2 linked regions of the Macaca fascicularis genome follow. The protein of the gene in region 1 binds, or shares a complex with, the protein of each later gene. Links are inferred from orthologs where the notes say so. Each region holds a gene or a part of one and is shown on either strand. Other genes may lie near its edges.

What was found.
Region 2: the proteins of OPRK1 (region 1) and PDYN are in contact, whole or in part, in a cryo-EM structure (PDB 8F7W), measured with the Homo sapiens proteins. The link is inferred for Macaca fascicularis from reciprocal best matches to the Homo sapiens genes OPRK1 and PDYN. Residues at the interface, in NP_000903.2 of Homo sapiens: Thr111, Gln115, Trp124, Val134, Ile135, Asp138, Tyr139, Met142, Lys200, Glu209, Cys210, Asp216, Tyr219, Lys227, Val230, Phe293, Ile294, Glu297, His304, Ala308, Leu309, Tyr312, Tyr313, Ile316, Tyr320; in NP_001177821.1 of Homo sapiens: Tyr207, Gly208, Gly209, Phe210, Leu211, Arg212, Arg213, Ile214.

The regions. Positions count from the first base shown.
Region 1 is NC_088382.1:63,228,534-63,232,551, reverse strand, and holds the start of OPRK1 (kappa-type opioid receptor), read left to right. Parts: upstream 1-1,218; 5' UTR 1,219-1,343; intron 1,344-1,708; 5' UTR 1,709-1,756; coding exon 1,757-2,013; intron 2,014-4,018. UniProt on the Homo sapiens protein: G-protein coupled opioid receptor that functions as a receptor for endogenous alpha-neoendorphins and dynorphins, but has low affinity for beta-endorphins.
Region 2 is NC_088384.1:85,203,724-85,207,669, reverse strand, and holds the start of PDYN (proenkephalin-B), read right to left. Parts: upstream 2,494-3,946; 5' UTR 1,902-2,493; coding exon of another isoform or gene 1,611-1,901; 5' UTR 796-1,610; intron 1-795. Other genes in the region: STK35 (serine/threonine-protein kinase 35), read left to right, coding at 1,611-1,901, 2,494-3,091.

The DNA.
Region 1 (4,018 bases):
TGGTCAAATCCCACTTTGGGATCATGGCGTCTTGCAAGAGACAGGAGCTCCCTTCTGCCCTCAGCTGATGGAGGGAAGGGTTGTATCAGCCATTAGTGTGCCCAGTTGTGGCATGGACATTACCTGTGGGATGCAGTGGGGACCTGTGTTTGTCAGCCTGAGGCAGTGAATCCACTGGGAAAACTGAGGTGCCTAAACCCTCAGTCTCCCCCAGGCCTGCCTCCAGTACCCTACGCAGAAGGGGAACTTCCCCACTTCCTTTCAGAACCTTAATTTTAGGGGCTGAGCCCTTGCTCCCCTTGGGTCTTGCCGGTCCCTTTGCCTGAGAAGAGAATGTCTCTACTCCAGCAGAATCTGACAGCGATCCTTGGACTAGCAGAGTTATGCAAAGAAATGATGGTGACAGTTTATTTATGGACGCTCAGATTCGCGGCCGGCCGTATGATGGAGGCGGTGCTACTGTGAGGGAGAAGTGAGGAGAACATGATGGCTGCAGGGATAAATGTAAAACAGAGACATTTTCACCTCCTTAGAGCACCACTGAGGCCCGGGTAAGGAGAGTGTTTTGCCCTTCTCAGATACTATCAGGAGTCAGGTAATACCCGGAAGGTGCAGTTTGTCTGCAGCCTGTCATCCCAGTTACAGCAGACGGAATGGAAGAGAACACAAGGAAATATTCTATTTATGTGTCTTTTAAGTCATTATTTTATGAACTGGTCTTATTCTAACTGGATCATTTTGCTACTTTCTTTGGATGGGTCATTCTAATAAGAGTCGTTCCTGACTGCGAACTACGCAGATAAGAAGTTCTAGACACAATATAAAAATCCAGGTGCATACTTGCACAAAATAGGCACGCCCCTCCTTTTCACTAAATCTAAAGGGCTCAGTCTCAGGTCTCCGGGAAGGCTGCATGGCCGGGGTCTAGCTTGTGTGCCGCTCGGGCAGTTAGTGGGCCGGGCGAGCCTTCGGGGCTGGAGGGGACGCGGGGCTGAGAGGCTGGGGAGTTGGGGGCTGACTCCGGGCGGGCGGGGCCGGGCAAGGACCAGCTGGCCTGGGGCGGGCGCACCAGCCGAGCTCTCTGCCCGCGGGTCCCCAGCGCCCAGCCGCGTCCCGGCTGCGTCCCGCCCCGCCCCGCCCAGCGGAGCCGCCGCCAGTAGTGGGAGCCGCGCACTGAGAGGCGGGGACTGCGCTCAGCGGAACAGCAGCCCTGGGGCCGAGAGTGGGGCCGGGATCCGAGAGCAGGTGACGCCAAGAGCTGAGTGGGACTCTTGAGCGCGCGGTTCAGCACCTACCAGGGCGTCCCCTAAATTACCTCGCCTTCGCCTGTCTCTGGGAAAGAGGTAAGCTTTGGGCTTTCGAGGCGCAGTTCTAGCTAGACCTCCGTTCTGGGAGGTGGGAAAGGGGCTTGACCCTGGGGGCTCAGATAGGCAGTCTGGGGACAGTTCCACCGGGGCCGGTGCCTAGAAATGGTGAGGGAGGCACCTCAGGAGCTGGGAGAGAAGGAGTGAGCGCTCTTCTCCCCTCTCTGGCACCCAGCGGCGCGCCTGCTGGCCGAGAAGGAAGCGAGAAGTCTGTCCTCCCTGTCCTGTCCCCGGCAACTTGCGGCCAGGGTGGGGGTCCGCAGGCTCCGGGTCCCCAGCGGCGCCAGCCAGGGCGGGGGCAAAGTTTGCCTCTCCGCGTCCAGCCGGTTCTCTCGCTTCCGCAGCCCAGCAGGTGCCGCCTGTCCTCGTCTTCCCGCTGCAGCCGCCCCACCATGGACTCCCCGGTCCAGATCTTCCGCGGGGAGCCGGGCCCGACCTGCGCCCCGAGCGCCTGCCTGCCCCCCAACAGCAGCGCCTGGTTTCCCGGCTGGGCCGAGCTCGACAGCAACGGCAGCGCCGGCTCGGAGGACGCGCAGCTGGAGCCCGCGCACATCTCCCCCGCCATCCCGGTCATCATCACGGCGGTCTACTCCGTGGTGTTCGTTGTGGGTTTGGTGGGCAACTCGCTGGTGATGTTCGTGATCATCCGGTGAGCGCTGGGTCGGCGCGGCGCGGGGGGCTGGGCAGGGCAGGGCAGGGAGTGAGGGTCGGGCCCCGCCACTGTAGCGGCGGTGGGGGCAGCTAGCCAGGCGATGGGAACTCTGTTCTGTGAAGGATGCTGGAAGTGCTACAGGGTGGCCTCCTAGAAGAGGTGAAGGATTTTCTGGGAGTTTTTGGTGGAGTGCTGAGAGGTTCACACAGGCGAATCCGAGCGTCCAGGGGCATCTGGAAGATTTCAGAGTGACTCCCCCGACTCCACCCTAGGGCCCAGCGTTTCTGCTGAAAACTCTATGCGCAGGGCAAGGTGCCTGAGTGCTGACAACAGGGTCAGGGTCTCCTGGTAAAGGAGTTAATCCATTTGCCTGGTTGCCTGCGCCAGTTCGTAGCACTTTGTTATGCCCTTTGCAAATATTTCTTAAGATCAATTTCAAGCCCACCCAATGCACTGAAGATAATTCCGAATTTCCTGTGACTCCTCCGACTGGTGTTTTGGCTTATGAAACAAAAGCTGATATATGATCTAGCGTTGTTGATATGCATATAGGAGCCTTTTTAGTACCAAATGTCATCCCATTTGTTAGGAATATCAGTAAATAATATTTATCTTCTAAAGCATGGCCTGTGGAGATTTTCAAAAACTGCTTTGCTGTTTTTTTTTTCCACCATGAGAAATTGAAGGTTTTATTTTATTATTTTTTGTGTGTGTGTGGAAATTTCTTTAGGTCAACTTCCAATAATAAGTATCGCAATGTCCACGAATATGGTAATTTTCTGGTAAGCAAAGTGATTCTGACTTTAAGAAAGAAAAACAAGAAAAGAAAAACCTAACTTTGTTCTGCAGTCTTCTTGAGAGAGATGTGTTTCCTTTTCTGGAAGCACTAGAGTTTTGTCAACACACCTGTGAGAAGGAGTAGGACACTTGTGTTCCTTTGAGAAGTCTCTGTGAAATAAGGGCGGGGTGCAAGTCACCCTGGCTAGGGACTCTGAAAGGATGAATAACTGATTTTTTTTTTAAGCTTGATTTTAGTTTTGAAACAGGCCTTTTGTTTATTATGAACTTTAGCAACCATATCATGAATGATAGCATAAATCTTTCCCTTGGAATATTATCATAATAAAAATACTGCTTTATCTTTTGTTTTTTGTTTTGTTTTGTTTTGTTTGCTTGAGAATGTCAGGTCTTTTCTTCCTATGTATGCTCTGACATTAAAAACCATCATTTAAGTCTCCAAACACTTATTATAAAGCTCATTTCACCAACAACTAGTGTTTATAGCTTGGTGCCCTTGGTTTTCATAATTGCCTATTGCATTTCCCAGGAATTCTATCCATGATGAGTAAAGGAGGGAATATTTTAAAAGTAAATTGTTTGTCCAAGTCATTAGTAATCTGAGGGCTGGCCTCTACTAAAGAGACAATTAGACAAAAGAAAAGACAACTGTATTCTAAATTTTAATCAAAATTTTTAGGAGATCTTTGGTACAGAAGCCATTTTTTTGGTGGTGGGGTAATAGAAACATTGTTACACAAAAGAAAGCTCTAAGAAAACAAATTAGCTCTGTTTCTACCCATATCATATTTGGGTGCTCAAGTAAAACAGATACATATTATTGTTATTTGAATGAGCCCCTGAAGTCTCCAGTTTGAAAAGAGCTTTGTAGTTGCTCTACAACCTTTTGCAGACTAGAATTAAAAAGACTGAAGAATCCTAAAATAACATTTAGATGTTATGTGCAAATATAACTCCGTGGGGAACATTTGACATGGAAGAAGGAAAAAAAATCCTGTAGATTAGCTAGGACTTTTAATGGATAGATTTCCCAAAGATATCCAACACTAAAGTGTGTTATAAGGGGATAAGTTCAGCTAAAAATATAAAAGGAGTTGGATAGTTCGCATACATCGTTCTCCATTCTCCCACTCCATTCTCAATACTTAAAGGTTACATTTGATGATAAATGAAAAGCGAAGAGTTCTACTGCCATCCTGGAGTG
Region 2 (3,946 bases), on another chromosome or scaffold:
AAAACATCAGATGAATAAAAATTTAGGGACATTCTACAATATACCTCACCAGTACTCTTCAAAAATGTCAAGGTCATGAAAGACAAAGCAAGGCTGGATAACTAACTGCCCTTCCAGATTGAAGGAAACTAAAGAGGCATGACAATTCAGTGCAACATGTGATACTGAATTGGATCCTGGGGAATAGCTATAAAGGACATTACTGGGGCAATTAGCAAAATTTAAATATGGATGGAGTGTATTAAACAATTGTATAATTGTTAAAATTCCTGATTTCTGACCACTGTACTGAGATTATGCAAGATAATGTCTTTTTTTAAGGAAACACACAAATATTTGGGATAAAGGAGCTTGATGTTGGAAACTCTAAAACGATGTAGTAAAAATTATATGTTTTATATATGTGTGTGTGTGTGTGTGTGAGAATATCTATATACCGTATACTGATTTCCTTTCTTTTGGGGTATATACCATATAGATATCCACACACAACATGTATTTGTGTATATACACACACATACGAGAGGATATGGAAATGCAGCAAAATATAACAATTTGTTATTCTAGTGGAAAAGCATATGATCTTTACGATTCTTGAAATTTACGTGTAAATTTGAAATTTAATCATGAAAACAGAAGCTTTCAGCGACCAAATACATTATCAGAAATGGCCTGTCCCCAGTGAGCACTCTTTAGCTCATTCTTTTTCTACATCGCACTTATCACTGGCAAAAATTATCCTGTGCATTTATTTAATAATATTTAACATTGTGTGCAAGGCTGTCAGTGCTTTACCTGTATAACCTCTGTGAATCTTCTTACAGGTCAGGAACAAATACACAAGAAGATTGATTAACTTGCCCAAGGCCACCCATGTGGTTTGTCTCCTGCAGTGGCACAGAACCTCAACCAAGGCAGAAACTGCATTGTCTATTAGACTTAGAATGTCTATTAGACTTAGACTTGCTCAGCGACTTAGAATGGTGCCTAGCACATTACGGGTGTTCAATAATTATCCGTAGATTCAGTTAATAAACACTGGGCACCCACTAGGCCTACATCGGAATACAAAGTACAGAACAAAATATTCAAAAATCTGTGCCTAAATGGAGCTTTGAGTACTAAAACTCAGTCCCACACCAATTAGCGTCCATCTAGGTATTTCATTTGGGTCTATCATTCCTGAGAATTAAGGCCCATTCTTAATAGATCCTCAGAGAAACGGATGCTCAGGGTGGGTCAATGATTTGCACAAGATAACTGTCTTGGTAGAAGGGAAGGTCGGGATTCCAACTCAGTCCCTGAGGTTCCCAGGCCCGACATATGAATCAAACGACCAAGACATCACCCAATCAGTATTTATTAGACGCCTACTGCGGACGATTGGTCTTCACGCAGGTCAGGCGAGAAGGGGTGGTGATGCGCGGGCCGCTGCGGAGACCCGGAGCCCGCCGCGGATCACGGGAATTTGGCGCCTATTTTTTGTTGGCTGGGTGTTCTCGCCGGTGATTGGGTCTCGGCAAGGCGTGCCGGTGCGCTCGGCTGCGGCTGCTCCGTCGACCTTGGCAGGACCGGGCGGTGCAGGACTCACTCGGCTGGCCTCCCGGGGGATGGGCCACCAGGAGTCTCCGCTGGCCCGGGCGCCGGCGGGAGGTGCAGCTTATATAAAGAGGTTATGTAAAGGGCTCAGCTGGCGCGAACACGTGGAAAGCCACGGGAGTCTAGGAGCCTGGGCCTCCCCAGCGTGCGCCGCAGCAGCAGAAGGATCCGCTGCACGCCGGGCTCCGGCCACCTCCCGCGCTGCTCGGTCCCGGAGGCAGCCCAGGCCCGGAGCGGACCATCCCCAGGCAGGGGCTCCAGGGAGGAAACGGGCCGCCCGGAAGTGGAGGTGCGCGGGCCAGGTAAGGGCGCCGTTCGAGGACTTAAGGCCAGCGCCGAGGCTGGAGTTACTGCCACTGCCTCCGCGCTTGGGAAGGGAAATCGGGTCCTCGGCCGGTCACGCTCCGAGAAGCCGAACTTTTGAGCCAATCCCTTCTACCCGCCGCCCTCGGGGACTTGGGTCGGTCCGCTGGGCTCCGCTAGGGCTTAATTCAATGGACTGTTTACACGCGGGCGAACACAAGGCGGGGCGCGGGGAGGGGCGTCACGGAGGGGGCCAGGCAAAGAAAAAGATTTCCGCCGGCCAAATCGCGTCCTAAGGCGGCTTTCAGAAGGCGTGAAGCTTGCTGGCTCTTCTTTTTCCTATCGCTACATGACAAGCTAACAGAGAGAGCGGAGAGTTTTTGCTTTTCTTTCCGGTTCCCCCTCTGATCCGCTGCCCAGTGGTTCCGTCTTTCCCGCTTTCCCCTCCCCTCCCCCGTTCAATCAGCGGTGGTGGCTTCCGTCTTAAAGGGGCCGCGGCGGCCGGGGGAGGAGGAGGTGGGACGCCCCGCGGCCTACACTCCTGGCCTCCCCGCCTCGGCCTGGTCGTTTAACCGATTCTTTCGCCCGCAGGTCACAATCCAAGGTCCCGCTCCTCCGCGTCCCAGGGCCGGACGGAGGGATGAGGCAGGGGGGGCCCGGGCAGCGCCGTTGCTGCTCCCCCCGCCGCCCGCAGCCATGGAAACGGGGAAGGACGGCGCCCGCAGAGGTACACAAAGCCCGGAGCGGAAAAGGCGAAGCCCAGTGCCGCGGGCGCCCAGCACGAAGCTGAGGCCGGCGGCGGCGGCCCAGGCCATGGATCCGGTGGCGGCCGAGGCCCCGGGCGAGGCCTACCTGGCGCGGCGACGGCCGGAGGGCGGTGGCGGGTCCGCGCGGCCGCGCTACAGCCTGTTGGCGGAGATCGGGCGCGGCAGCTACGGCGTGGTTTATGAGGCAGTGGCCGGGCGCAGCGGGGCCCGGGTGGCGGTCAAGAAGATCCGCTGCGACGCCCCTGAGAACGTGGAGCTGGCGCTGGCTGAATTCTGGGCCCTCACCAGCCTCAAGCGGCGCCACCAGAACGTCGTGCAGTTTGAGGAGTGCGTCCTGCAGCGCAACGGGCTAGCCCAGCGCATGAGTCACGGCAACAAGAGCTCGCAGCTTTACCTGCGCCTGGTGGAGACCTCACTGAAAGGTAGGAGCACCGCGGGCCTTTCCACCCACGCAGGGCCTGGACCCCCTGCTCTCCGGACGGCTTGACCCACACTGTTCCCGGCTCTTCTAGGCCTCAGACCTGGTCCCTGTCACTCTGTGCCCAGACACACCCTCCTTTCCTGGTTCCAGGCTTTCGGCCCTCTCTCTTCTGCGGTCCCAGGATCAGCCCCGGAGCCTAAAGTTGGCTGGTATTTCCATAACAAGAGCTCGTTTAAGTGCTAACCATTAACTTAATAACTGCTCAACATTTGTGAGCTATGGTTATTAAACGTCTTCTATTTAAGATCCGTCGAGGAGTGGAGGAGGGGTTGGGTTCAGTTAGTAGCAAAGCTGCAGAGTCCCCTCACCCCCTAGGACCTCTGTTTCCCTCCCAAAACAAACAAAAAGAAAAAACTTCACTGGACCCACCCACACCCTCTCCCAGTCTTGCTTTCCCAAGTTTCCCGACACCCTCCAGCTCCAACCCCCAAACTCTTGTGGCTTCCTCGTCTGCCTTTTTTTCTGAGGCCCCCAGCCCTTCATCCCAGGCAGCCAAGCAAACTGACGGTTTTCTGGCTTGGTCCTCTGAGGCATGCAGGCTGACAGCCCTCACAGGTGGCCTTGAGAGCTGTCACATAACAAAGCATCCAACATCTTTTTCCTCCGTTTTACGTTCTTAATCTTTTTAACCTCAGAGGCTGGCTGGCAGATGGTTTTACTTAAAAGGAAAATGGGGTTCATTGAGGCAAGAGGTCTTGCAGTCCTGGAAGAACTAATTATCTTAGTTTCCGGGTTTTAACTGCAGTTAGGGAATGTGTTCATCCTAACTACCCAGTACCTACAAGCCTTTCATACC